Linked DNA regions of Oryctolagus cuniculus. The protein of the gene in region 1 interacts with the protein of each later gene in a pairwise test. Links are inferred from orthologs where the notes say so. Each region holds a gene or a part of one and is shown in the gene's direction. Other genes may lie near its edges.

What was found.
Region 2: the proteins of CCDC102B (region 1) and ABI2 interact in binary tests that used the Homo sapiens proteins (3 or more experiments, as listed by UniProt). The link is inferred for Oryctolagus cuniculus from reciprocal best matches to the Homo sapiens genes CCDC102B and ABI2.
Region 3: the proteins of CCDC102B (region 1) and PNMA5 interact in binary tests that used the Homo sapiens proteins (3 or more experiments, as listed by UniProt). The two-hybrid records come from large-scale screens. The link is inferred for Oryctolagus cuniculus from reciprocal best matches to the Homo sapiens genes CCDC102B and PNMA5.
Region 4: the proteins of CCDC102B (region 1) and HMG20B interact in binary tests that used the Homo sapiens proteins (3 or more experiments, as listed by UniProt). The two-hybrid records come from large-scale screens. The link is inferred for Oryctolagus cuniculus from reciprocal best matches to the Homo sapiens genes CCDC102B and HMG20B.
Region 5: the proteins of CCDC102B (region 1) and GOPC interact in binary tests that used the Homo sapiens proteins (3 or more experiments, as listed by UniProt). The two-hybrid records come from large-scale screens. The link is inferred for Oryctolagus cuniculus from reciprocal best matches to the Homo sapiens genes CCDC102B and GOPC.
Region 6: the proteins of CCDC102B (region 1) and EHHADH interact in binary tests that used the Homo sapiens proteins (3 or more experiments, as listed by UniProt). The two-hybrid records come from large-scale screens. The link is inferred for Oryctolagus cuniculus from reciprocal best matches to the Homo sapiens genes CCDC102B and EHHADH.

What each region holds. Positions count from the first base shown.
Region 1 is NC_091441.1:9,979,934-9,984,579, reverse strand, and holds part of CCDC102B (coiled-coil domain-containing protein 102B), read left to right. Parts: intron 1-2,329; coding exon 2,330-2,547; intron 2,548-4,646. UniProt on the Homo sapiens protein: During interphase, forms fibers at the proximal ends of centrioles to maintain centrosome cohesion. During mitosis, dissociates from the centrosome following phosphorylation to allow centrosome separation. Contributes to CROCC/rootletin filament formation.
Region 2 is NC_091434.1:36,633,661-36,638,306, reverse strand, and holds part of ABI2 (abl interactor 2), read left to right. Parts: intron 1-1,294; coding exon 1,295-1,470; 3' UTR 1,471-4,646. UniProt on the Homo sapiens protein: Regulator of actin cytoskeleton dynamics underlying cell motility and adhesion. Functions as a component of the WAVE complex, which activates actin nucleating machinery Arp2/3 to drive lamellipodia formation.
Region 3 is NC_091453.1:131,405,686-131,410,983, reverse strand, and holds the start of PNMA5 (paraneoplastic antigen-like protein 5), read left to right. Parts: upstream 1-1,900; 5' UTR 1,901-2,028; intron 2,029-4,224; 5' UTR 4,225-4,366; intron 4,367-5,298.
Region 4 is NC_091447.1:59,466,592-59,471,755, reverse strand, and holds the start of HMG20B (SWI/SNF-related matrix-associated actin-dependent regulator of chromatin subfamily E member 1-related), read left to right. Parts: upstream 1-1,568; 5' UTR 1,569-1,601; coding exon 1,602-1,664; intron 1,665-1,889; coding exon 1,890-1,945; intron 1,946-2,275; coding exon 2,276-2,384; intron 2,385-2,694; coding exon 2,695-2,898; intron 2,899-3,436; coding exon 3,437-3,557; intron 3,558-3,646; coding exon 3,647-3,693; intron 3,694-4,083; coding exon 4,084-4,156; intron 4,157-4,375; coding exon 4,376-4,591; intron 4,592-5,164. UniProt on the Homo sapiens protein: Required for correct progression through G2 phase of the cell cycle and entry into mitosis. Required for RCOR1/CoREST mediated repression of neuronal specific gene promoters.
Region 5 is NC_091436.1:52,746,894-52,752,251, forward strand, and holds the start of GOPC (Golgi-associated PDZ and coiled-coil motif-containing protein), read left to right. Parts: upstream 1-1,808; 5' UTR 1,809-2,055; coding exon 2,056-2,343; intron 2,344-5,358.
Region 6 is NC_091435.1:94,866,113-94,869,717, reverse strand, and holds the end of EHHADH (peroxisomal bifunctional enzyme), read left to right. Parts: intron 1-563; coding exon 564-1,825; 3' UTR 1,826-2,697; downstream 2,698-3,605. UniProt on the Homo sapiens protein: Peroxisomal trifunctional enzyme possessing 2-enoyl-CoA hydratase, 3-hydroxyacyl-CoA dehydrogenase, and delta 3, delta 2-enoyl-CoA isomerase activities. Catalyzes two of the four reactions of the long chain fatty acids peroxisomal beta-oxidation pathway.

The sequences.
Region 1 (4,646 bases):
AACCAGGCTTTGCATTTGAAAATGAAGGTTTCTCTTCAAATGTATTATGTTGAGACATTCACAGTATTTTGAGGTTTCATTACAGTATCTCTGTGTCACCACTGTTAAGAACTAATCAGGGGCTGGCACTGTGACGCAGCGGGTTAACGCCCTGGCCTGAAGCGTTGGCATCCCATATGGGCACAGGTTTGAGTCCTGGGTGCTCCACTTCCGATCCAGCTCTCTGCTATGGCGTGGGAAAGCAGTATATGATGCCGGCGCCGTGGCTCAATAGGCTAATCCTCCACCTTGCGGCGCCAGCACACCGGGTTCTAGTCCCGGTTGGGGCGCCGGATTCTGTCCCGGTTGCCCCTCTTCCAGGCCAGCTCTCTGCTATGGCCAGGGAGTTTAGTGGAGGATGGCCCAGGTGCTTGGGCCCTGCACCCCATGGGAGACCAGGAAAAGCACCTGGATCCTGGCTCCTGCCATCGGATCAGCGTGGTGCGCCGGCTGCAGCGGCGGCCATTGGAGGGTGATCCAACGGCAAAGGAAGACCTTTCTCTCTCTGTCTCTCTCTCTCACTGTCCACTCTGCCTGTCAAAAAAAAAAAAAAAAAAAAAAAAAAAAAAAAGAAAGCAGTATATGATGGCCCAAATCCTTGGGCCCATGCACCCACATGGGAGACCCAACAGAAACTCTTGGCTTCGGATTGGCGTGGCTCCAGCCATTGCGGCTACTTGGGGAGTGAACCAGCAGATGGAAGACCCCTCTCTGTCTTCTCTCTCTCTCTCTCTCTCTTGCCTCTCCTCTCTCTGTGTAACTCTGACTTTCAAATAAATAAATAAATCTTAAAAAAAGAACTAATCATACATAGTAGGTACTTATTAAAAGTTTCTTTATTTTGGAAAACAGGTAAAATTACTCTTGATTGTAGGTAAATTCATATTTGTGATAGAAGAAGCCTCAATCAGCTGTTTTCATTTTGATCAGTTTTATGCTAACACTAGGCCAGTGAGAAAGATTCCAGGGTATATGTCATTTGTCCTACTACTGTATTCAGGGACACACATCTGATTTTATTACTTTTCAACATGATATATGTAGCTACAATATTCTTAAAAGAATTAAGAAATAAATAAAGCTAGGTAACCTGGCATAGAAATGGTAGTTTTAATTTTTTTTATATGAGAGTCAGAAAGCAAACAGAGAGCACTCCCATCCACTGGCCTACATAAGGACTGGGGCACATAGTACTTTCAAAAATATTTTATATGATGATTTATTTATTTCTTTGAAAGGCAGAGGCAGAGAGAGAGAAGTCTTCCATCTGTTGGTTCACTATCCAAATGGTTGTAATGGCCGGAGCTGGGCCGATCTGAAGCCAGGAGCCAGGAGCTTCTAGGTTCAGGGGTCCGAGGACTTGGGCCAACTTCTGCTGCTTTCCCATAGCAGAGAGGTGGGTTGGAAATGGAGCAGCTGGGACTTTTAAGTGGCGCCTGTATGGGATGCCAGCACTGCAGACGCAGCTTCACCTGCTACTCCACAGTGCCGTCCCGGACACATAGTACTTTAAGAATAAAATATTAAAAATTAAATATCATTGATTTTATTTGAGCTTGGATTTATTTAATTTAAAACCCATAACTCATGGCAAATTTAATTTTAGGCACATATGTACAGAATCAGTTCAGTGAAATATTGTAATGATACGATTTTTGGCACCGTGTGCTATTCTGATAATTGGCACTCATTTATTAATATGTCCCAATCAATTCTACTTGAGATTTGACTAGTGAACAAAATGTCAATAAACATACCTATTAAAATATTCAAGAGCTTTCTGAAAATTCTTTCTACTCTTTCATCCCAAAAATGTTAAAAACAACCAGTTGGCTTTTCTTTGTAACTCTCAAGTGTTTTGTGAAAAGGAAACCTTGAAGAGATTTGTCAACTCAAAAACTTTTTAAAGCAGTTAAAGTTTATGCTGAGTTATTTTAAGCTATAATTATGAAATATTAAATTAAAACAAACTAAAAGAGTAGAAGTTTTGAGAAATGTATTTTACTATAGTAAGGTTGAACATAGAAATTTAAGTTTGTAAAAGAAGGCAAGTCCTTAAATAAAATTATAAAAAAAGTAATAAAAAACAGTGGGGGAAAATAAAGAAAAAGAAGGCAAGTCAGTTTGACTGTATCAAAATAATCTTACAGAATGATAGTGAAATGAATGGATTTGACACTATATCATAACATTTATTTCCATTTGATACTGCATTTATTATTTATTATTTTTCTCTGAAAGAGTTAAACATTCAACAATAACAACTGTTTTATGCTTTTTTTCCCCCCAGGAAGATGTCATTATTGATCCACTAAGATTAAATGAGGAGATGAAATCCAATCTAGATAGTCCTGATTTATTTAAGAAATGTGGTTCTGGAAATTGTGCAATGAAACCTGAGCTAAGACTACCAGCTATAAATCTGCCTTTGGAGAATGACGTAACTGACGTGTCAACTTTGCAGGTGCATTTGGATGACTTCCAGAAAATCCTTTGGAAAGAAAGAGAGTAAGTTCTAAGCATTGTCTTCCTTAACCAAGTCTGATTTCAAACTTCTTAAAATTGGTAAGTCTGATCAACTGGTTGCTGGGTAATGTATTTTCTCATGTTTATCTATTACTTTCTAAGATTCAAAAAATGAATTTTGTGTATCATTTTGAATTTTGAAAAGTAATTTAGAGATTTTCTTTTATTCTTTCAAATTGACTTATTATAAGCACATTATCATCTTTGAGATTCACTTTTAACTATTTGAATTCTTAATATATGATTAAAATATCTAGTGTATATCTAGTTTTTACAGCAGCTTTGGACTTCAGTGATTCAATAAAATAATGAATGTTACCATAAGTAACAGACAAATCACAATTTTGCAAGGCACTCATTGCTGAACAAGATTTTTTACACATTGAGCGTCATGGTATATAGGGAAAGAGCACTAGGCTTGTGATTAAGTGACCTGGTTATTCATTTGCTTTGGCTATATTTTTGCTATATCATAACTGGACTGCTGTCCCTTTTGTAAGAATAGGGGCAGTGGGGCAATGTTGTGGTATAGTGGATGAAGATACTGCCTGCAATGCTGGCAGCTTATATAGGGCATCAGTTCAAGTCCTGGCTATTTCACTTCTGATCCAGCTTCCTGATAATGCTCCTGGGAAAGCAGCAGAGGATGGCCCAAGTGCTTGGGCCCCTGCACCCACATGGGAGACCTGGGTGAAGCTCCTGGCTCCTGGCTTCCGCCTGGCCCAGCCTTCGCAGTTGCAACCATTTGGGGAGTGAACCAGTGGGTGGAAGACCTCTCTCTCTGTCTCTCCCTCTCTTTCTGTAACTCTGCCTTTCAAATCAATAGAAAATAATTTTAAAAGGTTTAAATGACAGCAGGGACAGTGATGTTATCTTTTTTTTTTTTTTTTTTTTTTTTGACAGGCAGAGTGGATAGTGAGAGAGAGAGAGACAGAGAGAAAGGTCTTCCTTTTTTGCCATTGGTTCACCCTCCAATGGCTGCCACGGCTGGCGCGCTGTGGCCGGCGCACCGTGCTGATCCTAAGGCAGGAGCCAGGTGTTTCTCCTGGTCTCCCATGTGGGTGCAGGGCCCAAGCACTTGGGCCATCCTCCACTGCCTTCCCGGGCCACAGCAAAGAGCTGGACAGGAAGAGGAGCGACTGGGACAGAATCTGGCGCCCCGACCGGGACTAGAACCCGGTGTGCCGGTGCCGCTAGGTGGAGGATTAGCCTATTGAGCCGCGAGTGATGTTGTCTTTCGGTTATCCATTGTTTTGTAATACGTTCCTGAACAATTGTTCTTAAACCAAGATATATTCTGTAGATTAGTCATGGCTTTGCATGGTGCCTATCTCTCCCATGAAGGTTGAGCTTGGATGATTCACAGGCAGTGGTGACTGGAAGGTTGGGAGCTGCAATACCTGATGTTTTACCCAATCACATGCCTGATAGATTCTGATTCTCTCCTGGGCTCTCAGTTGGAATGCCTGAATGGTCTTATCCCCATGAATGCTTGGCTTCTCCACATGAATTGCCTAAGGTTCATGTGAATGACTTAAAACTATACAGAAATTTATAGCATTTTAATGACCTCTCCTCAAAAATCCCATAGCAGCCTTGGTGTTTGGCACTGTGGTTAGGATGTCACTTGGGGTGCCTGTATCTCCTACCAGAATACCTAGGCTCAAGTTCCATGCCGACTTCCTGTAATGTACACCGTGAGAGGCAGAAAGTGATGGCCAACCACAAAGGGGAATCATTGAATTCCAGGCTCCTGGCTTCAAGCCTTGCCCTGTCCTGGCTGTGGTGAGCCTTTGGAGGGGGAGTGAACCAGCAGATGAAAATTTTCTGTCTCTGTCTCTCTGCCTTTCAAATGAAATGAACATAAAAGTTCAAAAATCTTTTTAAAGATTGGTGATATTGCTTCTAATACACTTATTGGTGGAGGCAATCTCAAAGGTTGACTCAGGTCAAAGAAGACGTCAAAATCACTTTATAATCAGAGCATATAGGATGTGGTCATTATGGGAGCCACCTTTGCAAAATGTCTCTCCTGGCCTCCTTCACAGAATTCTTCTAAGGATCACACACAGATCATTTCT
Region 2 (4,646 bases), on another chromosome or scaffold:
GTGCTTTTCCTGGTCTCCCATGGGGTGCAGGGCCCAAGCACTTGGGCCATCCTCCACTGCACTCCCTGGCCACAGCAGAGAGCTGGCCTGGAAGAGGGACAACCGGGACAGAATCTGGCGCCCCAACCGGGACTAGAACCCGGTGTGCCAGCGCCGCTAGGCGGAGGATTAGCCTAGTGAGCGTGGCGCCGGCCAATATATGCTTTTTTATTATTTATTTTATTATTATTAATTTGACAGAGTTACAGAGAGAGAGAGAGAGAGAGAGAAGTCTTCCTTCCATTGGTTCACTCCCCAAATGGCCGATCCGAAGCCAGGAGCCAGGTGCTTCTCCTGGTCTCCCATGGGGTGCAGGGCCCAAGCACTTGGGCCATCCTCCACTGCACTCCCTGGCCACAGCAGAGAGCTGGCCTGGAAGAGGGGCAACCGGGACAGAATCCGGCGCCCATATGGGATGCCGGTGCCCGCAGGTGGAGGATTAACCGAGTGAGCCACGGCGCCGGCCCCAGCAATATATGCTTTAACCATGGATAGATGGAGATGGAGGTTTCCCTGGACAGAGTTCTGGATGATACCAGAAAGGTGCAGGAGGCAGAGGGGCTGGCGTAGACTAGAACTCCACAGGGGCATCTGAGCGAGCTCTCAGGTGTCGCAGTTAAAACGAGCGGGATAAATGTGATGTTAGGAAGCAGAGATGGTCCGAGGGCGGGGTTGAAAGGCCCGGTCACCAAGTGATGGGAGCCGTGCGGATCACAGGGGAGCTCGGAGGAGTGCTGGCTTTCTTACACTTTGACACTGTTCCTGTGGACACATACAGCTGGTGACAAAATGGAGCACCTTTTGAAAGAACGTATCTACAGGTGGACTCCCCTCCTCCAAGCATCGTGGGAATTCGGTCTGTTGTCAGTCGCCTCGTAGGTGAATTCACCGCACTGTAGAATCTCAGTGCTGGAAGGCCTGCATTTTTCTTCCCCAGCGTGGAGCTGCAGCGCAAGCTCAAGTGAAGAGGTAGCCGTCTTCCTGGTTCTGAGGTCGTCTTCAAGGAGGCGCTTTCGCCTCTGTGTGGAAGGGTGAAGCTGACAACTGCCATCTGTACCGTGCAGAGCCTCCCCTCGGTAGGAAAGGGGATTGCGTGGTGTCAGACTGGGTACCAGGGAGAAAAGTGTACAAACTGTGGTCTTGTTTAGAAAGTCAGGCTGTTACAGAGATGCAGATGACAAGGAAGAACGGTTATCTGCATGTTTGGTTTTCTCTAAGAATAGTGACTTTTTATATCCTGTTTTTTCTCCCTTAGTTGTGGCAATTTATGATTACACAAAAGACAAGGAGGATGAGCTGTCCTTCCAGGAAGGAGCCATCATCTACGTCATCAAGAAGAATGACGACGGCTGGTACGAGGGCGTGATGAATGGAGTGACTGGGCTCTTCCCGGGCAACTACGTGGAGTCCATCATGCATTATTCCGAGTGACGCGCGGGGGGCTGTGCGGCCCTCGCAGGAACAGTCAGGTCTCCCCGGAGTACTCATGGCCCGGGGCGCCCCTTCCAAACAGAACGAAGGATACAAACGATAAAACGGCTTTTTTTTTTTTTTTTTTTAATCCCCGAGTATTGAAAACAAAAAAGCCAACTCTGAGCAGACGGGTCTTTCTGCAGTGATTGGTGCCACGCTGAGCTGTCGAGTGATGCGCCGTGACCGGTTCCGAGGTGGCAAAGCTGGAACCGCCTAACCGTGCAGCTGAGCACATCAGAGTGACTGATTCGGGACACTGTCTGGGATCGTTCTCAGGAATACTGGACACCCTCGATTCCTCCTCCCACAAAACCCGTGGCATTGGGTGTTCTCTGCCTGTGCTAAGGGGTTGGCTTCATGCCCAGTGGGTACTGGTGCCCGCACTTCCTTCCGCTTGGAGGAGGAGGAGGAAGTCGATACTTACACTCCCCGGTAACCATGGTTCCGTTGGCTCAGCAGCCTTGTTCCTCCTGGACACTGTAAATTCCGCATCCTCAACACCTGAGTGCGCCCAGCGAGTTGACCTTGAACGCACTTGTATCCCTTGTTCCCCAGTGTGTAGATGACAGGATGCTGCTCTGGGAGTCTGCAGACATGGCGGGGTGGGTAAGGACTGCACGGTGTGATGTACCACGCTGCCGGGAAGCAGCTGGGGTGGGGGCGGTTCCCGGGGAGGCGGTGGGAGGGTCCGAGAGCAAGCTGCTGCCTGGCCTCGAGGGCATCCCAAACCCTTGCCTGAGGTGCAGTTCTGTGGGGCCCTCCTTTTCCCTACATAGAAAGACCCTGTTCCCAGCCTCCTCCTGGCCACCCTGGGGCGCTGGGAGAGGGAGCCTCACCGTGATGGGACCCTGAGGGGCTTCTCAGCCCCAAGCCCATCTCACACTCAGAGCATCCTAGCTGGAGAGCAGCAACAGGCCTCAATGCTGACCCCCTCGCTAATTTAGAAGCAGTAACAAAAGAATTTTACTCCCATCTGTTCAGCTGTTAGGGTTCTACATGGAGTGGAGTTTGCAGGCCAGTGGCTTCCTTCGTCACACTTGCTGTCCCCTGAGTACTGGGAACCCCCGGCAAGGCACGCAGTGCAGGCAGGAACTTGAGTGCAAATGAGCAGGCAGAAGTCATGTTCTGTTGCACATCGCTGTGCAACAGACCCAGCTGTAGAGATTCCTGATCAAGACTTTGTGAAGTTATAATTAAGAAGAAAGGTAACTGGGCTTAACCATTTTGCTTCCTGATTTCCCCAGACTGGTCTTAGCTTTACTAACTTGCCTCCAGTCCACATTCCACTTCGTGCTTTTCTTGAGTCATCTTGATGTCCCTTAGTGTTCCTTCACAGTCAGTGCCGCGGGGCCTTCAACGCCATCGGACACCCAAACCAGACTGCGTGTGCATCGGGTAAACCCTGCTTAGTGCCGGCGTGCAGCTGGACAGACAGCTTTGAAATGACATCTTCCAGCTATATTTTTGAGTAGTTTCTTTGCTGAGAGCATTTTGTGGTTTAAGGTGTTTTGAAATCCAACAAGTAGCTCCCGGCTCCCCACCAGAGGAGACCCCTGTGCAGAAGCTGTAACGCGCGCACCTGCTGGACCCTTGCTGGATGGGAGTGTGCCAGATACTCGGTGAAGGCCTCTCTATATTTAACATCTGCGGTGGCAGGAGTCCACGACTTAGCCAGTATTTTCTATATTATTTGGTACTGTTGTGTGTGTGTGACTTTTGTTTAACAAATGATATTTGTTGGATTTTCTGCCCACTTTTTTTGTACAGTTCTGAATTCTATAGATTGTCTCAGAAGGATATAATGTAATGATGGGCCAGGCCTGCATTGGAGACTTTTAATGTATGTAATATTTCATAGATTGCATGCTATTAATAGTCTGTGAGGGTAATATTTCCTGTTGTGTTTCCCCCTTTATCTTCCTGTAAACTAAAAGATGGTATTAGGAATTCCAAATGAATGCAGAAAAATCTTACATGCTTTTAATAATTACAGCGAGGATGATCCAAGTCGCAGATCTGCTGAACAGCAAGCAACCATTTGTAAGGATAGAATCTGATGGGAAAAAGATTCTTCCCTCTGAAGTTCATTTAGACTGTGGTCATCTCATTATTACAATTTTTTTAAAAAGTCACTGCATAATGGTTTTTTTTTTTTTTTTGGTGTTAATATTCCAGAGTTGGTGGAGATATGAATGAAAACGCACTGTTTTTGTTTTTGACCTTATGGCCAAGACAATAAATTGGAAACAAAGTACCAGTGCATCAAAATCCAGACCTGAGAAATCCAGACTAATGTGTTTGGAATAAATACTAATCTGCTAAGACGTCTCGGTCCGTATTTTCTGTCTCTCGGCCTTTTTCCTTTCTCCCTCAGTAGCGCTTGCTGCTCTCACCTTAGGGCTGCGAAGAACTTGCTAACTCCGCTGTGTTGCTGAGTCACTGGGGATGAGCCCTTCTCATCCTCTCCTCTCCCTCCTCCGACTGTTTGGTCCCGGCGAGAGCAGCTGTTGTGTACATCTCCCCAGCACTGTGTGTAGCGTGGCTGTGCCACATAGCTGTGCTTTGTGTTGAGTAAATTGATTTTTCTGTTTGGGAGGCATCAAAATACAGTTTGCTGTGATCTTGGTTTCCACTTGAGTTTAGCAGGTGCCATTTCTGCACCTCTAGGAGCTACTTCCCCTTCTGTCACCTTCTCCTCCGTGGGCATTGCCAGGTCCTGAGGTCCACCGTTACGTGTGCAGAGGGTTTGCTGCAGGAATGGCCAGGTGACTGCCAGTCTTTGAGAAGAATGGGGCCTGTTCACGTCTGAACAACTTTGGCTAGGAACTCCCCACCCCAGTTACTTTGAATCAAAGGATTTTAAAACTAGATTTTAGCATCTCTGGTTCCGTCTCTTTTGACTGGTAAGGTTAAATGTTTTGCTTCAGATGAACAGCTGATAACAGAATTCCTGACTCAAAGCCCAGTGGGCCTCTCTGCACCACAGCTGTCTTAATTAAATGTGCTGTATTTTTCTTTGATTCTACTTGATGTCCTTAGAAATATACTTGAACCACCATGTTTCACTAAATGCCCTCTGAGTATTCAGACTCTCTAAAACTGTACTAAGTGCCACCTTAGTGAAAACAATCATT
Region 3 (5,298 bases), on another chromosome or scaffold:
GATTTTCCTTCCTGCCTTCCAGTCCCAGCACAGGGAAACCACTTTTATTAATTCAAAAACATTTTTTGCATTTTGGTATTTATGTAAATACAAGAAATTTGAATATTTTTCCTTTCTTAAGATAACTATTCAATAAACTGTGTTAGGCATCTTTTAAAAAAGAAAAAGAAGAAGAGACTGTGAAGTGTGATTGCTAGCTCAGGGCTTCGGAAAAGGAAGAGAAGCTACATGAAGTTGTCCAACAAGTGTCTTGTTCCTACTTAGCAGTGGAAACAAATAGTTCATTCAGCTAATCATTTATGAGGCAAAGAACAGGAATTTGGGGGATGTCAGGGCTTGCTTTGTGATAGGTCAACAAAGGAGGTATCTGCTACGTGCTATTCAAGTCATATGAGGGAGCAGCATTCTTTGCAGGAGGCTTTTTGCCACAACACAAAAGGCTGAGGGGTTTCTTAACCTTCTGGGTGGTCCGGGTTTACAGGGTTCAGGTAAAATGCACCATGATCTCCTCCTCATCCCTCAGCAACTTTTTGTTTTTAAGGAAAGACTAGGGAGGAGCCAAGTCTAGCAGTGAGAAGTAGAATGAAGTACAGAGGTGCTCAGGACAGCTCTGCTCACAGCCTGTATGAGACTGGGCAGCTGGTGGTGTCATCCAGAGGGTGCTGTGGACTGCTGTAAGGAGAGCCGTCTGGTCTGTGACCACGTGGCAGCGCCAAGTAATCATTTTCTCCAGTAAGGAGAAGGAAATTAATTTAAGAGATAGTCCAAAGTATGTTCTTGTTAAGTACGCAGTATAGGGGTCTGGGTTACAGTGTCATGTCTCACCTAGGAAAAATTTTCAATTAAAGGAGAATAATGCAATATTTGTATGTATCTTACTTGGTGACATTTAGTTTTAAAAGTTTTCTGCTTTTCACATTTTCATTAAAATATGATTTTAAAAAAGGCCTGTTATTCGTACCAAATACAGCAAAACTTACGTTCTGTCAGCTTACAACTTCTGGCTCTGGTAATCTCAGAGCAGTGCTACACAAAGCATGGGCAGGGAACTGCAATAGCCGCTAGAGTTTTGGTACTTTTGCAGACTCTGAGCTCTGCCAAGACCTCCTGACTCACAACTTGAACCGCTACTATCACCTGCTCTGGGAAATGTGTGTGCACTTTGTAAACTGCTACCAGTGTCCCACCAGTGCCCTTTGCTGGGACAGGACTTTAGGGTCCCCAGTAGCCCCAAGGAAAACAGCTAAGTCTTCCCTCTGTGGAAGAAACCTGCTTTGGGAAAGAAAAGAGAGAAGTTTCGGTACCTCGTGGGTAATTCTCATGCAATCACGAGAATAATGAGAGAATGAAATCTTGATAGTTTCCTGTATCTCAATGAGCCTTGAAAATTGCATGCATTTGTAAAATGAAGGTAGTAGCTGTATTTTTTATTTTTTGCCGTCCCCTAGGACACAGTGGATAAAAATTAACAAGGACAGAGACGTTTGGTTAGTTAGTAGGTACCGAGCTTGTAGTTTGCACCTGGACCTATACTTTGCACATAGCCCTGTGTGCATAGCTTGGAATACACAAACAGGAGGAGCCACTGGTGAAAGTCAGAGCCAGTCCCAGTCCAATGGGTGAGAGACACCTATCATAGTAGCCGCAATGGTTGCTGGGACTGATGTGACAGGTGGTGGTCCTGTCGGCCTCTATTGAGCACGTACAAGCTGGACTGTGAGCAACTCTGCAACGCAACAGTTCTCAGTATGGTTTGAATTCTCTGTTCCCCCTCCAGTCATGACTCAGAGGAGAAACGTGCGGTGGACAGGGCACAACCCCTTTATTGCAGGAGTGGGGTGGAGGTGGAGATGGGGGTGGGCGTGGCCGTAGACGTTGCCGGGATGCATCTGCGAGTGGGCGGTGCTGAAGACCGTTGCTTACCCGACAATTTCTTTCCCGCCACAAACTCGCGGCTCATTCCGTACAGTGGCGGCGGCAGAGTGGCCACGCTGCACGGGCGCTGTGGCCTGGAGGCATTCCCAGAAGGTAAGGAGCTGGGTTTGGGCACAAAAGGGAACCAAGGTTACAACAGATTCCCTCCAATGATCCTGGTTGACCTCCATGAGGTCCCAGGGGCCAGTGGCCTTAGATTCCCCTGGAAGCAGAATCCTAGGGGTCCCTGATATTTCCAGTTATCATGAGTGGCCTCAGAACTTTAGGAGGGCCCATTCTACCCCAAACCTGCCCAGACGTAGCAGTAAGGACAACTGGTTCTGGCCCTTATCCTTGAGGGAAAGTGGCTTTGGCCATTCCTGTTCTAGCCTCTAGCTACCTCTGCTGACTAGATGTGTCCCTGCTCAGAGTAGTGGAAAGGGTGTGTGAGGTTAGGAGTGAATGGGACAGCCTGATGGGTACAGGAGGTTAAAGATAATGAGGTGGGGGAAAGGAGTACAGGGAAATGGAAGTGAGGAACTTGGGTGGGTGCAGGACGTGCACATGAATGGCGGAGTGTATGACACTCGGATGGACACAGAGTTTGGCGGTTCAGTGGCTCTTGGTGAAAGTGGCTTTTGGCGCCAGAAATGGCGCTTGCGCAAGACGCAGTTTGCCGGTTCAGTGGATCTTCAGAGGTTGGCTTTTGGCGCCAGGAATGGCGCTTGCGTGGACGCAGAGTTTGGCGCCAGAGGTGGGGCTTACGTGGACGCAGAGTTAGACGGCAGGGGTGGGGCTTGCGTGGACGCAGAGTGTTGCGCCGGGGTGGGACTTGCGTGGACGCAGAGTTTGACGGCAGGGGTGGGGCTTGCGTGGACGCAGAGTGTTGCGCCGGGGTGGGGCTTGCGTGGACGCAGAGTTTGACGGCAGAGGTGGGACTTGCATGGACGTAGAGTGTTGCACCAGAGATGGAACTTGCGTGGACGCAGAGTTTGACGGCAGGGGTGGGGCTTGCGTGGACGCAGAGTTTGGCACCAGAGGTGGGGCTTACGTGGACGCAGAGTTAGACGGCAGGGGTGGGGCTTGCGTGGACGCAGAGTGTTGCGCCGGGGTGGGACTTGCGTGGACGCAGAGTTTGACGGCAGGGGTGGGGCTTGCGTGGACGCAGAGTGTTGCGCCGGGGTGGGACTTGCGTGGACGCAGAGTTTGGCGCCAGAGGTGGGGCTTGCGTGGACGCAGAGTTTGACGGCAGGGGTGGAGCTTGTGTGGACGCAGAGTGTTGCGCCGGGGTGGGGCTTGCGTGGACGCAGAGTTTGACGGCAGAGGTGGGACTTGCATGGACGTAGAGTGTTGCACCAGAGATGGAACTTGCGTGGACGCAGAGTTTGACGGCAGGGGTGGGGCTTGCGTGGACGCAGATTAGACGGCAGGGGTGGGGCTTGCGTGGACGCAGATTAGACGGCAGAGGTGGGGCTTGCGTGGACGCAGAGTTTGACGGCAGAGGTGGGACTTGCATGGACGTAGAGTGTTGCACCAGAGATGGAGCTTGCATGGACGCAGAGTGTTGCGCCGGGGTGGGACTTGTGTGGACGCAGAGTTTGGCGCCAGAGGTGGGGCTTACGTGGACGCAGAGTTAGACGGCAGGGGTGGGGCTTGCATGGACGCAGAGTGTTGCGCCGGGGTGGGACTTGCGTGGACGCAGAGTTTGGCGCCAGAGGTGGGGCTTACGTGGACGCAGAGTTAGACGGCAGGGGTGGGGCTTGCGTGGACGCAGAGTGTTGCGCCGGGGTGGGACTTGCGTGGACGCAGAGTTTGACGGCAGGGGTGGGGCTTGCGTGGACACAGAGTGTTGCGCCGGGGTGGGGCTTGCGTGGACGCAGAGTTTGACGGCAGAGGTGGGACTTGCATGGACGTAGAGTGTTGCACCAGAGATGGAACTTGCGTGGACGCAGAGTTTGACGGCAGGGGTGGGGCTTGCGTGGACGCAGAGTTTGGCACCAGAGGTGGGGCTTACGTGGACGCAGAGTTAGACGGCAGGGGTGGGGCTTGCGTGGACGCAGAGTTTGGTGCAAGGAGTGGGGCTTGCGTGGACGCAGTTACATGGCAGGCGTGAGGCTTAGGTGGATGCAGAGCTTGGCCTTGGGGGTGTGGCTTGAGTGGAGGTGGGATTTGGGGCTTGGTGGGTGGGATTTTTCCCTGGGGGTGGAGCAGCAGTTTCTTGTATTCGTGAGCAGATTCAAAATTGGCACATCCTGAGCAGGGCATTTGGGACGTAACCACAGTGAAATACCTCTGCCTTGCTTTGGACAGATCCAGTGAAGGGATCCTGATCCATCTAACCTGGTTCGGGAACTGCCTGACAGGACAGAGCTGGAGAGCAAGCTGAGTGCCTGATTACATCAGAATCACAAACTCTACACGGCCAGTGGAATCCACACTGCCAAGTCGTCAAGTAAGTTATTTTGGAAGGTGAGCCTCTGTGACCCTGGCAAAGGACAAGGGGACAAAGGCTGCCTTCCAGGATCCACACACTCTGCAGGGTAGGGCCACACCTAGGGTGACAGTTGTCTGTTTCCTGCAGCGGGACAGTGGGAACCCTTCGTTGGGTCCCTTTTCTGCCCCTAATTCTAGCTGCTACACAATATGAAACCTTAAGCACTTGTTTTTTCAGCACTCAGTCCTTGCTGCTCACCTCACCCCCATCTCCCCTTCACTCTCCCAGCTCCCTTGCTGCTAGGACATTTCCATTGGCTGGAGGATAGTGACATCACCTGTTGCTCTTCAAGTGCCTTCACCTTACCACATGACACAGCCCTGTGCTAGAAACCCATGGTCCATGCTGTTCTCAGTAAGCATAGTAACACTGTAGTTTCTGCACCTACCATTCTCAGATTGCACAGAGCTCTGGCCACCTTTGTCTTCTGTGGGACATTTTCTGAGAAAGAGAACAGCTCCCAGTCTCCTGCCAGCCTTTACCCCAGCAAAGAGATTTCCAGGTCATCTAGACCCACACAAATCCTCTTCTGACAGGCAGCCTTTTTTTTTTTTTTTACAAGCAGAGTTAGACAGTGAAAGAGACAGAGAGAAAGGTCTTCCTTTCTGTTGGTTAACCCCCCAAATGGCTGCTAAAACCGGCGCACTGCACCAATCCAAAGCCAGAAGCCAGGTGCTTCCTCCTGGTCTCCCATGCGGGTGCAGGGCTCAAGCACTTGAGCCATCCTCAACTGCCTTCCCGGGCCACAGCAGAGAGCTGGATTGGAAAAGGAGCGACCGGGACAGAATCCGACGCCCTGACCTGGACTAGAATCCGGGGTGTCGGCACCACAGGCAGAGGATTAGCCAAGTGAGCCACGGCACCGGCCACAGGCAGCCTTTGTCAGTGTC
Region 4 (5,164 bases), on another chromosome or scaffold:
GGCAACGCCAGCCTGTCCATCACGGACAGAGGCGGGGCCCGCAGGGCAGTTCCTACGGCAACGCCAGCCTGTCCATCACGGACGGAGGCGGGGCCCGCAGGGCAGTTCCTACGGCAACGCCAGCCTGTCCATCACGGACAGAGGCGGGGCCCGCAGGGCAGTTCCTACGGCAACGCCAGCCTTGTCCATCACGGACGGAGGCGGGGCCCGCAGGGCAGTTCCTACGGCAACGCCAGCCTGTCCATCACGGACGGAGGCGGGGCCCGCAGGGCAGTCCCTACGGCAACGCCAGCCTTGTCCATCACGGACGGAGGCGGGGCCCTCAGGGCAGTTCCTACGGCAACGGCAGCCTTGTCCATCACGGACGGAGGCGGGGCCCGCAGGGCAGTTCCTACGGCAACGCCAGCCTTGTCCATCACGGACGGAGGCGGGGCCCGCAGGGCAGTTCCTACGGCAACGCCAGCCTTGTCCATCACGGACGGAGGCGGGGCCCGCAGGGCAGTTCCTACGGCAACGCCAGCCTGTCCATCACGGACAGAGGCGGGGCCCGCAGGGCAGTTCCTACGGCAACGCCAGCCTGTCCATCACGGCTCGGAGGCGGGGCCCGCAGGGCAGTTCCTACGGCAACAGCAGCCTTGTCAATCACAGCAAGGAGGCGGGGCCCCGCAGCAGAGCCTCAGGGCGTCCGTGGATTCCAGTCTGCGCCGTCTAAATTTAGAACATTCTCGTCACCCCCGAAGGCAGTGCCCAGCCCCTCCCTCAGGCCGCGGCGACCACGCCCCCTTCCTGTCCCCGCGGAGTCCCCTGCCCGGCCGTGGGGCCCCACGCGCGTTCGTGCTCCCCGGCGTGACGTCTGCGGGGCCCGCAAGTACTCGGCCCCGCACTCCGGGCCGCAGACGTCTGTCCCGTTTTGCGGGGAGCCTCGCGCAGGTTCTCCCGCAGCCGCACCCCGGGACTGCCGGGCTGACCGTCCGTGAGCGCCAGCCGCTCCCAAACCCACGCACCCGCCCCGTGGACACCGGACTCGCCCCTTGGTTTGTGCGAGGACCTGTGCGTGAGCAGGCAGATGGGGCGGGGGGCGGCCAAGGTGCCCAGGGTGCCCGAGGACTGACGGCCGTGCAGATGGGGCTGACTCCGGCCCGGGTCTCCTGCCCAGCCCCCGCCTGACCCCGGCCCAGGTCGCCTGTCCAGCCCCCGCCTGACCCAGGCCCGGTCTCGGCCACGCAGCGCTCCAGCCTCTCGGCCACGGCGGGTTTGGCCCCCTCCCCAGCTCTGCGGGTGCTAAGAACCAGAGCCCCCTCGCCCTAGCGACCCCCTGCGTCCCCACGGCAACCGGGGCGGGGCCGAACCCGGATCCGCGCGCGCCTGCTGGCCCTTTAAGAGGCTCCGCCCCGCGCGGCCTCGGACGCCAGGGATTGGCCCCGAGCGCGGCCTCGCGCAGCCGAACTTGACGCGCCGCCCGCCGCCTCCCCGGCCCGCCTCCCCGGCGACTCGGCAGCCGCTGCGGCCAATCGCCGAGCGGCGCGCCGACCCTCATCTACATGATCACGCCCCCGGGGCGGGCCCCGGCCAATCGGGCCGCTCGCCGGGGCCTCATTAGCATGCCGGGGGCGGTTGGTTGGCGCGTCGCGGCGGCCGCCAGGGCCGGGAAAGTTTCTGTGGAGGTGAAAGCCGCGCGGAAGTCGGGGTCCCGCGCAGGGCGGGGGCGCGGGGGGCGCGGGGCGCGGCCGGGGCCGCCTCGGGCCGGGGGCGGGGCCGGGCGGGCCCCCGGGGGCGGCGATCGCCCAACAAAGGAGCCCCCGGCGCCCGCCCTCGAGCGCGTCCCCGCCCCCAGCGCACCCCCCGGGGTCCCGGGCGCCCCTCGCCGACGCCGCGCGTCTGCGTTGCAGGTCCGGCCCGGAGCCGCCATGTCCCACGGCCCCAAGCAGCCCGGCGCGGCCGCCGCGTGAGTGCGCCGCCCCCGCCCCAGCGCCCTGCCCCCTTGGAGGGTTTCTCCCGGGTCGCCACCTCCCCAGCCCGGCCTGCGCCCTGCCCCGGCCCCCTCCCCAGCCCCTCCTGCCCCCGCCCCGCCTCCACCCCTTCCCCAGCCCCGCTCCTTCCTAGGCCCCCTCGGGCTCCCGTCCTGACCCGGCCCGCGCCCCCCGGCTGGGCTCCGTCCTCCCAAGGCCGCCTCTGCGTCCCCTCCCCGATCTGCCCATGTCCCGACCCCGGCGGGCGGCGGTCTGGGCTCCAGGGGCCGGCGTGACCCTGGTGACCCCGTGCCCCGTGGCTGCAGGCCGGCGGGCGGCAGGGCTCCGGGCCCACACGGGGGCTTCGTGGTCGCGGTCAAGCAGGAGCGCGCCGAGGGCCCGCGGGCCGGCGAGAAGGGGTCCCAGGAGGAGGAGGTGAGCACAGGGCCCGCCCGCCCCGTGTGCAAGTCTTGTGGCTCCGCCCACTGCCCGGTATCCGGGGAACACTGTCCCACTATCCCCCCTCGCCCCGCCCACATCCCGGTGACCCCGCCCTTTGGGCGGAGCTTTCCTTTGGGCCGCCTATAAGCGCTTCTTTCTGTCAGAGGCCACGCCCACAATCAGAAGCCACACCCCCAGGGGACCCGCGGTCCGCCTGCCCAGGTCCAGGCCCCCTTGGACCTGGTCCTCCTCCAGCCTGGCCCTCTCGGGGCCCCGGCCCCTGCCCACGCGCCCCGTTCCGCAGCCGGTCAGGAAGCGCGGCTGGCCCAAGGGCAAGAAGCGGAAGAAGGTCCTGCCGAACGGGCCCAAGGCGCCGGTCACCGGCTACGTGCGCTTCCTGAACGAGCGGCGGGAGCAGATCCGCACGCGCCACCCAGACCTGCCGTTCCCCGAGATCACGAAGATGCTGGGCGCCGAGTGGAGCAAGCTGCAGCCGGCGGAGAAGCAGGTGCGGCGGCCGAGGGGCCCCGGCGCGCCCTGGCTGGCCTCGCTCGGTCGGTGCCCGCCGGGGTCGGACAGGGCCGAAGGGGGCACCGGCCTCGGTCAGCGCCCACCGGGGTCGGACAGGGCCGAAGGGGGCACCGGCCTCGGTCGGCGCCCACCGGGGTCGGACAGGGCCGAAGGGGGCACCGGCCTCGGTCAGCGCCCGGCCGGGTCGGACAGGGCCGAAGGGGGCACCGGCCTCGGTCAGCGCCCGCCCGGTCGGACAGGGCCGAAGGGGGCACCGGTCTCGGTCAGCGCCCGCCCGGGTTGGACAGGGCCGAAGGGGGCACCGGCCTCGGTCAGCGCCCGCCCGGTCGGACAGGGCCGGGTCTCTGCTGAACCCAGATTTGCGCGTTAGTTTAAATGTGGAAAACCCAGGCGGGTCCGACGGAGGCCAGCGCTGGTCTGCGCCTGTTGCGAGTGGGGTGCGGGCCGGGGCCACCGAGGGTGCAGCGGGGGCGGGGCGGGGCGGGGCTCGGGCCCACCTGCCCGCCCACCCGCAGCGGTACCTGGACGAGGCGGAGCGCGAGAAGCAGCAGTACATGCGGGAGCTGCGGGCCTACCAGCAGTCCGAGGCCTACCAGATGTGCGCCGAGAAAATCCAGGAGAAGAAAGCCAAGAGAGGTGGGCGGGGCGTGGGGGCGGAGCCACAGCCCGGCCATGGCCAAGGCCACTGCGTGATGGGCGCTGACCCTGCCCCTCCCTCCCGCCAGAGGACTCGGGCTCCGGGCTGCTGAACACCGTGTTGAACGGGTACAAGGTGAGCGCGGCCCTGTGCCCGCCCGGGCAGCAGGCAGGGAGGGTGCGGGGTGCCGCGGGGAGCCGGCCGGGAGGGGTGCGGGGAGCCACGGGGAGCAGGCAGGGAGGGGGCGGGGAGCCACGGGGAGCCATGGGGGGCAGGCCGGGAGGGCGCGGGGAGCCACGGGGACCCGGCCGGGAGGGCCCGGGGAGCTGGCCGGGAGGGGGCGGGGAGCCACGGGGAGCCATGGGGAGCCGGCCGGGAGGGCGTGGGGAGCAGGCCAGGTGGGTGTGGGGAGCCACGGGAAGGGGGCAGGGAGCCGGCCGGGTGGGTGTGGGGAGCCGCGGGCGGGCGCAGGCCTAGGTGCCCCGGGAGCTCCCCCCAGCATAGCCACCTCGCCCCCCGACCCAGGCCGGGGACTGCGACGGCCTGGCCGCCTTCGACGTCCCTATCTTCACTGAGGAGTTTCTGGACCAAAACAAAGGTTGGCGCCCGGTGGTCCCGGCGCGGGGGGGGCGCGGGGAGGGGGCGCGGGGCTCTCCGGGGGGTGGGGAGAGGGTGTGGGGACCCGGCTGGCGGGGTGGGAGGGGCGGGGCCCCGAGGGCCGGGCTGGCGGGGGTCGGGGAGGGGCGGGGCCCCGAGGGCCCGCGGTGCGGGTCGGGGCGCGGGACCCCAGCCCTGACCCGGCCCCCCACGCCCCCAGCGCGGGAGGCGGAGCTGCGGCGCCTGCGGCAGGTGAACGTGGCCTTCGCGGAGCAGAACGCGGCCCTGCAGCGCCACACGCGCACCATGAGCAGCGCCCGCGAGCGCCTGGAGCAGGAGCTGGCGCTGGAGGAGCGGCGGACGCTGGCGCTGCAGCAGCAGCTGCAGGCCGTGCGCCAGGCGCTCACCGCCAGCTTCGCCTCGCTGCCCGTGCCGGGTGCGGAACCCTGCCCGGCCCAGCCCTCAACCCTCAACCCTCTAGCTGGCCCCGCCCCTCCCGGGCCCCGCCCCATCGTCTAGAGCCCCGCCCCAGAGCCCTGCCTCCAGCTTCGCTCCAGCCCCGCCCTCCCTCCCAGCCCCACCCCGGTTGCCCAACCCTCTAGCCGGCCCCGCCCGCCCTCCCGGGCCCCGCCCTCCCTCCCGGGCCCCGCCCCATCGTCCAGAGCCCCGCCCCAGAGCCCTGCCGCTGGCTTCGCTCCAGCCCCGCCCTCCCTCCCGGCCCCGCCCCAGCCCCAACACTCTAGCCGGCTCCGCCCCCCTCCCGGGCCCCGCCCCATCGTCTAGAGCCCCGCCCCAGAGCCCTGCCTCCAGCTTCGCTCCAGCCCCGCCCTCCCTCCCGGCCCCGCCCAGGCCCCAACCCTCTAGCCAGCCCCGCCCTCCCTCCCGGGCCCCGCCCCGTCGTCTAGAGCTCCGCCCCAGAGCCCTGCCTGCCCTGGCCCCAACCCTCTAGCCGGCCCCGCCCCCTCCCGGGCCCCGCCCCATCATCTAGAGCCCCGCCCCAGAGCCCTGC
Region 5 (5,358 bases), on another chromosome or scaffold:
TCCATCCACTGATTCATCCCCAGCCCCCAGAGGCTAAATAACCAGGCTAAAGCCAGGAGCCTTTAACTCCATTCAGGTCTCCCACATGGGCAGCAAGGACCTAAGCATACGGACCATCCTTTGCTGCCTTACCAGGCACATCAGCAGGGAGTGGAATGGAAGTGGAGCATCTGGGACTAGAAATGGTGCTCTGATACAGGATGCCAACATCACAAGTCTTGGCATAAGGCACTATACCACAACACCAGCCTCATAATCATGTCTCTAGTCACTCTGCTACCACACCAAAATTAGGCCTGGGCTGCTGGATGTGGACAGGCAATGCCCCGGAGACAAGAGGTGATGCTGGGAGACAGTGTTTATTACAGTGGCTACCTAGAGGCTCCACCCTCCCAAATGTGCTCTTCCCCACTTTGCAAGCTAGCAGAATGACTTTTAAAGGAGAAAGAGGATTTGGGATAGGGGAGGCAGTAAGGGAAGAAATTGGGTCCTGAAATTCTTGGGCAACTAGTTTAAGTCACAAGACAAGTCACAAGAGAAGTCACGCAAGACAAGTGATAAACATCTGTTAATTAAAATCTGAAAAGAGAGGAAGGGAAGACGCCTTTCTTAAGGTTACATGTCCTCAGTGTCTCAACAGGACTGTGCGTATATTTAGGAATACATGAATCTTAGCAATTTTGTTTTTCTAAAATGTGTGTGGGGACAATGTACCAGTTTCTGAAATAATTACACCTTTCAAAATGTATGATCAGAAGTGTGGTGGAATAGTATGTGGCGAGCACTGCCGCTAAGTCATAAATTACAGAATGAATTCATCTGCTGGGACAATGTACCAGTTTTTAAAATAATTACATCTTTTAAAGCAGCTGCTTTTGATATGTATGACCAGCAGTATACTAAGTTGGATACGTGGCAAGCACTGCCAGTAAGTCAGAAATTTTAACAATTACAGCATGAATTCATATGTGTAGCAAAATAATGACAAAATCAGTGAGTAGAGGTGAAATGCCAATCAAGACGGTAAACAATTGGCTATCCAGGATGGAAACTTAGTTCAACCTTAAATGTATCTAAAGAAATCATATATCAATGTAATTTTAATCTAGAGACAATCAGCTCTTTACATTCAGGAAGCCTTTTCTACAGAGTCAGTTGTTATTAAACTTCCAAAGTTGGCTTAAGAGCAGCTTATTAGTGAGTGAAGTAAATTTTGAAAGTAGGCTTCAAGGTTAAATATTACAATTGGGATGGAACAGCTAGCATGCGACAGGGTGCAAGCTTTGAACCTTGGCCAATCTGCTAATGACAAGACAGAAAACCTTCCATTAATTCAGCAAAACCTGGTTAGCCGTTTCAACCTGCAGCTTTAGGCAGCTCCCACCTGGAATTTAGGGTTGTCCACCCACTTCACCCCAAGCGGGAACTGGAATGGAAAAGGTAAAACGTGGCTACTGCGCATGCTCACACCGCCCTTCTTCACTCCACTACTCCCCCTCCCCGTCCCTGGACGCCACTGCAGCAACTTTCCAGGACGACTTTAGAATGGTCCCCGCCCACCGTGCAGTCAGACTGGCGGAAACCATTCTTTTCTGCGACGTGGACACCCGTCTCCTCATTAGAGCTTTCCAATTTGGAAGCAGTCATCGCGCGCCTCCGCTTCTCAGGGATTCCAGCGGCGCTTGCCAGTTGTCAATATGGCCGCTGACAGGCGGGTCGTAAGCAGAGAGGCCTTTCATAGGCCAAGGTCGCTTCCCGGCCCCGCCCATTTCATCCCTCCGGGCTGCGTCCGCCCAGCTCCTCGCTACGCATGCGCAGCGGGGGCGGGCCGGGAGGTGGGACTGTCCGAGTCTTCCGTGTGCCACCGCTGCCGCCTCAGCCTCACTGGTGCTGCCACTCTGGGGCTGCAGTGCCGGCGTTATCGGCTCGAGGGGAAGGGAGGGGACCGACGGAGCGTGCGTGCGCGCGCGGGGGTCCCCGCAGTCCCAGCAGTTCCCCTCGAGTGTAGTGGGCGGCCAGGCTAAGCAGCAGTCGAGGGAGGCCCTAGACGGCGCCATGTCGGCGGGCGGCCCGTGCCCGGCAGGAGCCGGAGGGGGCCCCGGGGGCGCCTCCTGCGCCGTGGGGGTCTCCCCTGGCGGGGTGTCCATGTTCCGGTGGTTGGAGGTGCTGGAGAAGGAGTTCGACAAGGCCTTTGTGGATGTGGATCTGCTTCTGGGCGAGATCGATCCGGACCAGGCGGACATCACTTACGAGGGGCGACAGAAGATGACCAGCCTGAGTTCCTGCTTTGCGCAGCTTTGCCACAAAGCTCAGACTGTGTCCCAAATCAACCACAAGCTCGAGGTGAGCCGTGGGCGCTGGCATGGGTGGCAGTCGACCCCAGGTGGGCCAGTGGCGTCAGATCCCATCAACGCACCAGCGAAACGACCCTAGAAAACTGCCCATTGGGGCACCTGGCCTTGGAATGCGATGGGGGGAGTGCGTGGGCAGGAGCGGAGGAGGGGGAGAGCTGAGACCGGAGGAGAGAAAGGGACGTAGACCTACGTGTGGGTCTCCCGGGGTCCTGTCATTCACCTTCGAGTATCTCACTGAGGAGGGAACAGGAACTAGTGATACTGGTGTCCCTCGTACATGTTACGTTAGACCTCATTGTGTCATGAGGATACCTTAGCCCACGTTTTGACACTGGGGTTTTGCAGACTAGGTTAGTATATTTCCAGACAGTCCCGGTCCTGATTATTTTCATTTTAGATGTTACAGACTGGCATGTGTGGTTGCACACGGAGACATGCATGAACTATCTAAAGGGAATCTGATCCAAGGTCTTAGAAAAATTTAGTGGAGTGTACCCGTATACATAGTATCGTTTTGTCTGGGTTCACATTCATAGTTGGTCCTTAAATTACAAGCACATACCTCCAGAGCTTCCTGCAGTTATTCAGGTGACTTCTAACACTGAGGTTAATGGATTTCTACTTTACTGTGTTTCCCAAAGTCTGGATTTATTTTGAGTGTGTGTAAAGAATGATCATTTGCTTGAGTCTCAAATCCAAACACACAAAATAAGCTACCACAGTGTACAGAAAATTAAATTGGGGTGTTATCACAATATTTAGAAATTATGATAGATTAATGTTGCATAAAGGATTCTAACTCGGCAATTTAAACGAGAGAATGTCTTTAAATTTTAGAGTAGATAAAAATGGGATAATGAATGATATGCAGAGCTCTTTGAACATTAGCTTATCTAGGAAATCATCATTGCTACTAGCTGAAATAAATTTATGAGACCCCATTGTATCCAGATTAACAGGACTGTCACATATGCATCCTCTCCTTGCTCAGTGATCCGTATTGTTTTGCTTTTCTCTTGTTAACTATGAAAAAGGTGGTATAATTAATCTTTGATTGGTGTAGACTTCCATACCCAAGATTTTATGGCTCTTCTGCACTGAGAGGACTGCTGATTTCTTCCATCCTTTGTGAAAAAATTGCAATGAAAATGCTGATATGCAAGCACTCATGTCTTATTGTAGGTAAATTAAAATGTTTCTTGATTTCTTGATTAGTGATACTTTCTAGAAGATAGCTATTTTTTTAAGTAATGAAATTTTATTTGATGGTTTTTAGAAATAGTAACTTTAAGCAGCAAAAATCAAGAGTAGCTTTTGCCAAAGCAAAAAACAAAAAAACTTTAGTATAATTTGCAACCCCAGGCATCTATAGGGGATAAATGGCTTTGTAGAAATGAAACATTATCTAACTTATTTTTTAACGACCTAAGGAAAGTAAAATGTTTGTTAAGACAGATACAAAATCTGATTTTGGAGAAAGGATCATTCTGTAAGTAGGAGGTGGTGGTCAAATTTTTTTTTTTTCATTTTTAAATACTTTAGATGAATATTCAGGGTTGTAATAAATTATGCTTTTTTTTTTTTTAGAAATTGTAATTACATATTCTGACTCCATGTCCTGGCCAATTATTTCTCAAAATATAAAGTGCTAGCATATTGCAATGTGAGCATATTTTTTCAGCAGGTTTGAAACTCCTGATTTAAAGATCTTAGAAAATGGAGAAGGAGAGGCATACCTTGATTTTTGTTGTTTTTTTTTTCAGTTACATTAGATTTTTCTGCCTGTGGTGTTAATTTTTTCACATTTAGCAGCTTCTACAGTTTCCATGGAATCAGTTGGATGTTGCTGAAGAAAGAGGTTCCTTGTCAACAGTGCCTTTCAAAGTAGATCTGCTGGTTGTACCATCTGCAGAATTTTAGGGATTGCTGTAAATTTATGGGCTCCTGAGAACTTGAAATTTGAGAAAAGGTTTCCATACTTTCATGCCTTATCATATTTCTTAGTAGGCCAATTGAATTATATTGTTTGAAATAAATATTAAGACATAATATTTGAGTGCACATGTTGTTTGATACAATAAATACACTCCAAGTTCAGTGATTTTAGAGATTAATATTTTTAAATATTTATATATAATAAAGACTCAAATAACTCCAGTGTGGGTGATGTATAATGTATCTAAATTAGTCTTAAGTATCCTTCTAGATTGCCATTTCTATCCAGTCCTGTGTCTTTGGGTAGCACTACATTTTTTTTCTTTCTTCCTTTATTTTTATTTATTTGAAAGAGTTACAGAGAGAGGTAAAGACAGAGAGAGAGAGAGATCTCCCATCCACTAGTTCACTCCCCAGTTGGCTACAACAGCCAGAGCTGAGCTGATCTGAAGCCAGGAACCAGGAACTTCTTCCAAGTCTCCCACGTGGGTGCAGGGGCACGAGGACTTGGGCCATCTTCTACTGCTTTCCCAGGCCATAGCAGAGAGCTGGATTGGAAGAGGAGCAGCCAAGACTCAAACTGGTCCTCCTACCCGCCATGGGATGCCGGTGTCTCAGGCCAGGGCTTTAACCTGCTGAGCCACAGCACTGGCCCCTATTTATTCTTTTTAATTGAAACAGGAATTTTTAAAAACTTTTTATTTGAGGGTAGTTTTAAGTTTACAGAACGAAAACTATGAAATAGTAAAAAGAGCTCCCTTATACCCTATACCAGCTTCCCCTATTAGCATGTATTTGTCACAATCAATAAACCATATCTAGTACCATGTTTAAGGAAAACAGTTTTATTGTAAAAAAGAAATAGATGGCATTTTCAAATGAAAAACAACAGGTCCTTTGTATTTGTGGGTTCCACATCCACTGATTCAACCAACTACAGACTGAAAATATTTAAAAAAAAAAACACGTTTTTTTATAGAGCATGTACACATTTTGTTCTTGTTATTATTCCCTAAAGAATGCAGCATAACAAATATCTACATAGCATTTACATTATGTAGGTATTATT
Region 6 (3,605 bases), on another chromosome or scaffold:
CTGCCACCATCCAGCTGATGTTTTACAGAGATTATATTGGCTCTGCAGATCATTTTGGAAAGTATTCTCATCTAAACATTATTAAATGATCTAATCCATGAATATCAGATAGTTTTCCATTTATTTTGAACAAGTCTTTCTATCCAGGGTTAAGTGTGCTGCTAAGTATATTATGATTTTTATGGTATTATAAATAGGATTTCTTTCTTAATTTCATATGCATGTTGTTCATTGCCTAGTATATGGAAATACAGTTGATTTTCCTATATTGATTAGTGTCTTCAAAATTGTTGGACTCATTTATTAGTTTTAATATCTGTATGTGTATGTGTGTGTGTGAGAGAGAGAGAGAGAGAGAAATACTCTTCTTATTTTTTTTTTTTACCTTGAGAGCATGTAGCATACTATCTAATGTTAGCTTGAACCACTTCAGTTGTTTGTATCAATCTCTTTAAATGTATAAATCTCTTTAAATTGCAGTAGAACCTTTCTGTTCAGTGAGTAATTTCCCAAATCCCAAAACTATTGAATCATTCTTTGTTTCCTTCACTCTTTGTCTACAGGTTTGGGAACAATGGGCCGAGGTATTGCCATTTCTTTTGCAAGGGCCAAGATTCCTGTGATTGCTGTGGAATCAGATAAAAAGCAACTGGAAGCTGCAAACAGGGTGATAACTTCCATCTTGGAAAAGGAAGCATCCAAAATGCAGCAGAGTGGCCACCCTGGGTCGGTACCAAAACCCAGGTTAACGTCATCCCTGAAGGAGCTCAGTGGTGTAGATTTAGTCGTTGAAGCGGTATTTGAGGACATGGCCCTGAAGAAGCAGGTGTTTGCTGAGCTGTCTGCTGTGTGTAAGCCAGAAGCATTCTTGTGCACCAACACTTCAGCCCTGGACGTTGATGAGATTGCTTCTTCCACTGACCGTCCCCACATGGTCATCGGCACCCACTTCTTCTCACCAGCTCACGTCATGAGGTTATTGGAGGTGATTCCTAGCAAATACTCCTCCCCCACCACCATTGCTACTGTCATGAACTTATCGAAAAGGATTAAAAAGGTTGGAGTGGTTGTAGGCAACTGTCACGGGTTTGTTGGGAATCGAATGTTGAGACCTTATTATGATCAGACGTACTTCCTGTTGGAAGATGGCAGCAAGCCGGAGGAGATAGATCAGGTGCTGGAGGAGTTTGGTTTTAAAATGGGACCTTTCAGGGTATCTGACCTTGCTGGGTTGGATGTGGGCTGGAGAATTCGGAAGGGGCAAGGTCTTACTGGACCCACGTTACCTCCAGGAACTCCTGCCCGAAAGCGGAACAACAGGAGATACTGCCCAATTCCTGACATGCTCTGTGAATCAGGACGATTTGGCCAGAAGGTTGGTAAGGGTTGGTATCAGTATGACAAGCCGCTGGGCAGGATTCACAAGCCTGACCCCTGGCTTTCCAACTTTCTGTCACAGTACAGAGAAACCTACCACATTGAACCTCGGGTCATCAGCCAGGAAGAGATCCTTGAGCGTAGCTTGTATGCACTCATCAATGAAGCCTTCCGTATCTTGGGAGAAGGGATGGCTGCCAGCCCAGAGCACATCGATGTTATCTATCTATATGGGTACGGCTGGCCTAGGCACAGAGGCGGGCCCATGTTCTATGCTTCCACAGTCGGCTTGCCCAAGGTTCTGGAGAAGCTGGAGAAATATTACAGACAGAACCCTGATATCCCTCAGCTGGAGCCCAGCGCCTATCTCAGAAAACTGGCTTCCCAGGGAAACCCTCCTCTGAGAGAGTGGCAGCGCTTGGCAGGGCCCCCGAGCAGTAAACTGTGATCCAGCCTCCCCGGTTACCTCGTAGCTGGCATCAGCTGATTCCCACTGGGTTCCAATGAAATTAAATCCAGAATTGTAGGTAAGATTGCTCAGAGATACAGGGCAAAGGAGTAATTTGTCAGCTAATTTTAAGGAATGTGCTTCCTATTCCTTTGTATCTGTCCTCTACCAGTAAATTCAAGGGTTAAACTTGTGTTAACCAAACACCATAGTAAGATACGATAAGAGAGCCGTGGGAATCAGTTGAGGTTCCCAAGTGCTCTGATCGTTGGAGAAATATGTCATCAATTAACAAATGAGAAGTGCAGCAAAGTCATCAATCATTTGACCCTTTCAGCCTCGCACACATAGTATTGATGGGGAATGCTACAGATCAAAGATTCGGTGAACACTGAGTGAGCACCTCCCTGGCGTCTTCCCCCTCTGGGAGCACTTGGCAGAGCAGAGTCCGTGGGGCCACGAAAGCGGCAGGGAAGCCCGTGCTGAAGTGCAGTGCGTGTTCTGTGCGGTGGAGCACAGAGGTGGCAGGGCAGAGGCAGCGGGGAGGGTCTCTGAGGCAGATTTAAATGTTCTAAGATCATTTAATAAAATAAGATGAGGCAGATTTAAATGTTGTGGAAATGGTATGTAACTCTGTGATTACACTAAACACTACTGAGTTGTATCTTGAAATGAGTGAATTGTAGATATGTGCATTATAAAATTGGAATGACATTGTTATCACATGAAATGATGTAAGTGAATTATTCTCACAATGTTTTCACATGTGAACTCCAACAAAATTATAAAAAGTTCTTGTGGCGAAATCTTGAACAAACAGAGTATAAGTTTTTCATTGCAAACAAGAAATAAATAAAGAAAATCCAATAATATGCCCTTGAATTGTTAAATTTCAAAAAACTTCTGTAATGCTTTCCAGTTGTTTATGTATATTTTGCTTTTAGGATTTAAAACATCAATTGAAAAGATTCCCTAAAGTAGTGACTTATTTTCAGGTTTCTGTAAAGAAATCCATGTTAACTTCTTGTGTTTTATCTCAGATTTCATTTTGAATTATTAAAGCATATTTCACAGTATACTAGCCTCTACAACAGAGTTTTGAAACTAGACAGTATGTGAATAAGTTTTGAGTTAATGACCCCTGAAATTTTATCATGAAGTTTTTGTATATGTATCTGTATGCATTTATTGGGAGAGAGAGACTATCTCCCACCGTATTGTGAAAAGTGCTGTTAACCAAATACAGTTTGAGGACCAATACTTTATATAGGAAATGGGCTGAAGAAATAGGAGTTCACTTATGTTATGTCAAAGAGGCAAAATGAATTCTAATTTGTTGGGTCCTATACTGAATAGTAATTAATCGGAGAAACATCTTAACATAGTCCATCCTGTCTTTGAAAATACACATCACAAGGGCAAGTGTTTGGCACAGTGGTTAAGATTTGGAACACCTGCATCTGGTATCAGAGTACCTGGATTTTTTTTTTTTTTTTTTTTTTTTTTTTTTTTTTTTTTTTTGACAGGCAGAGTGGACAGTGAGAGAGACAGAGAGAGAAAGGTCTTCCTTTTGCCGCTGGTTCACCCTCCAATGGCCGCCGCTGCAGCCGGCGCACCGCGCTGATCCTGGCAGGAGCCAGGAGCCAGGTGCTTTTCCTGGTCTCCCATGGGGTGCAGGGCCCAAGCACCTGGGCCATCCTCCACTGCACTCCCTGGCCATAGCAGAGAGCTGGCCTGGAAGAGGGGCAACCGGGACAGAATCCGGCGCCCCAACCGGGAC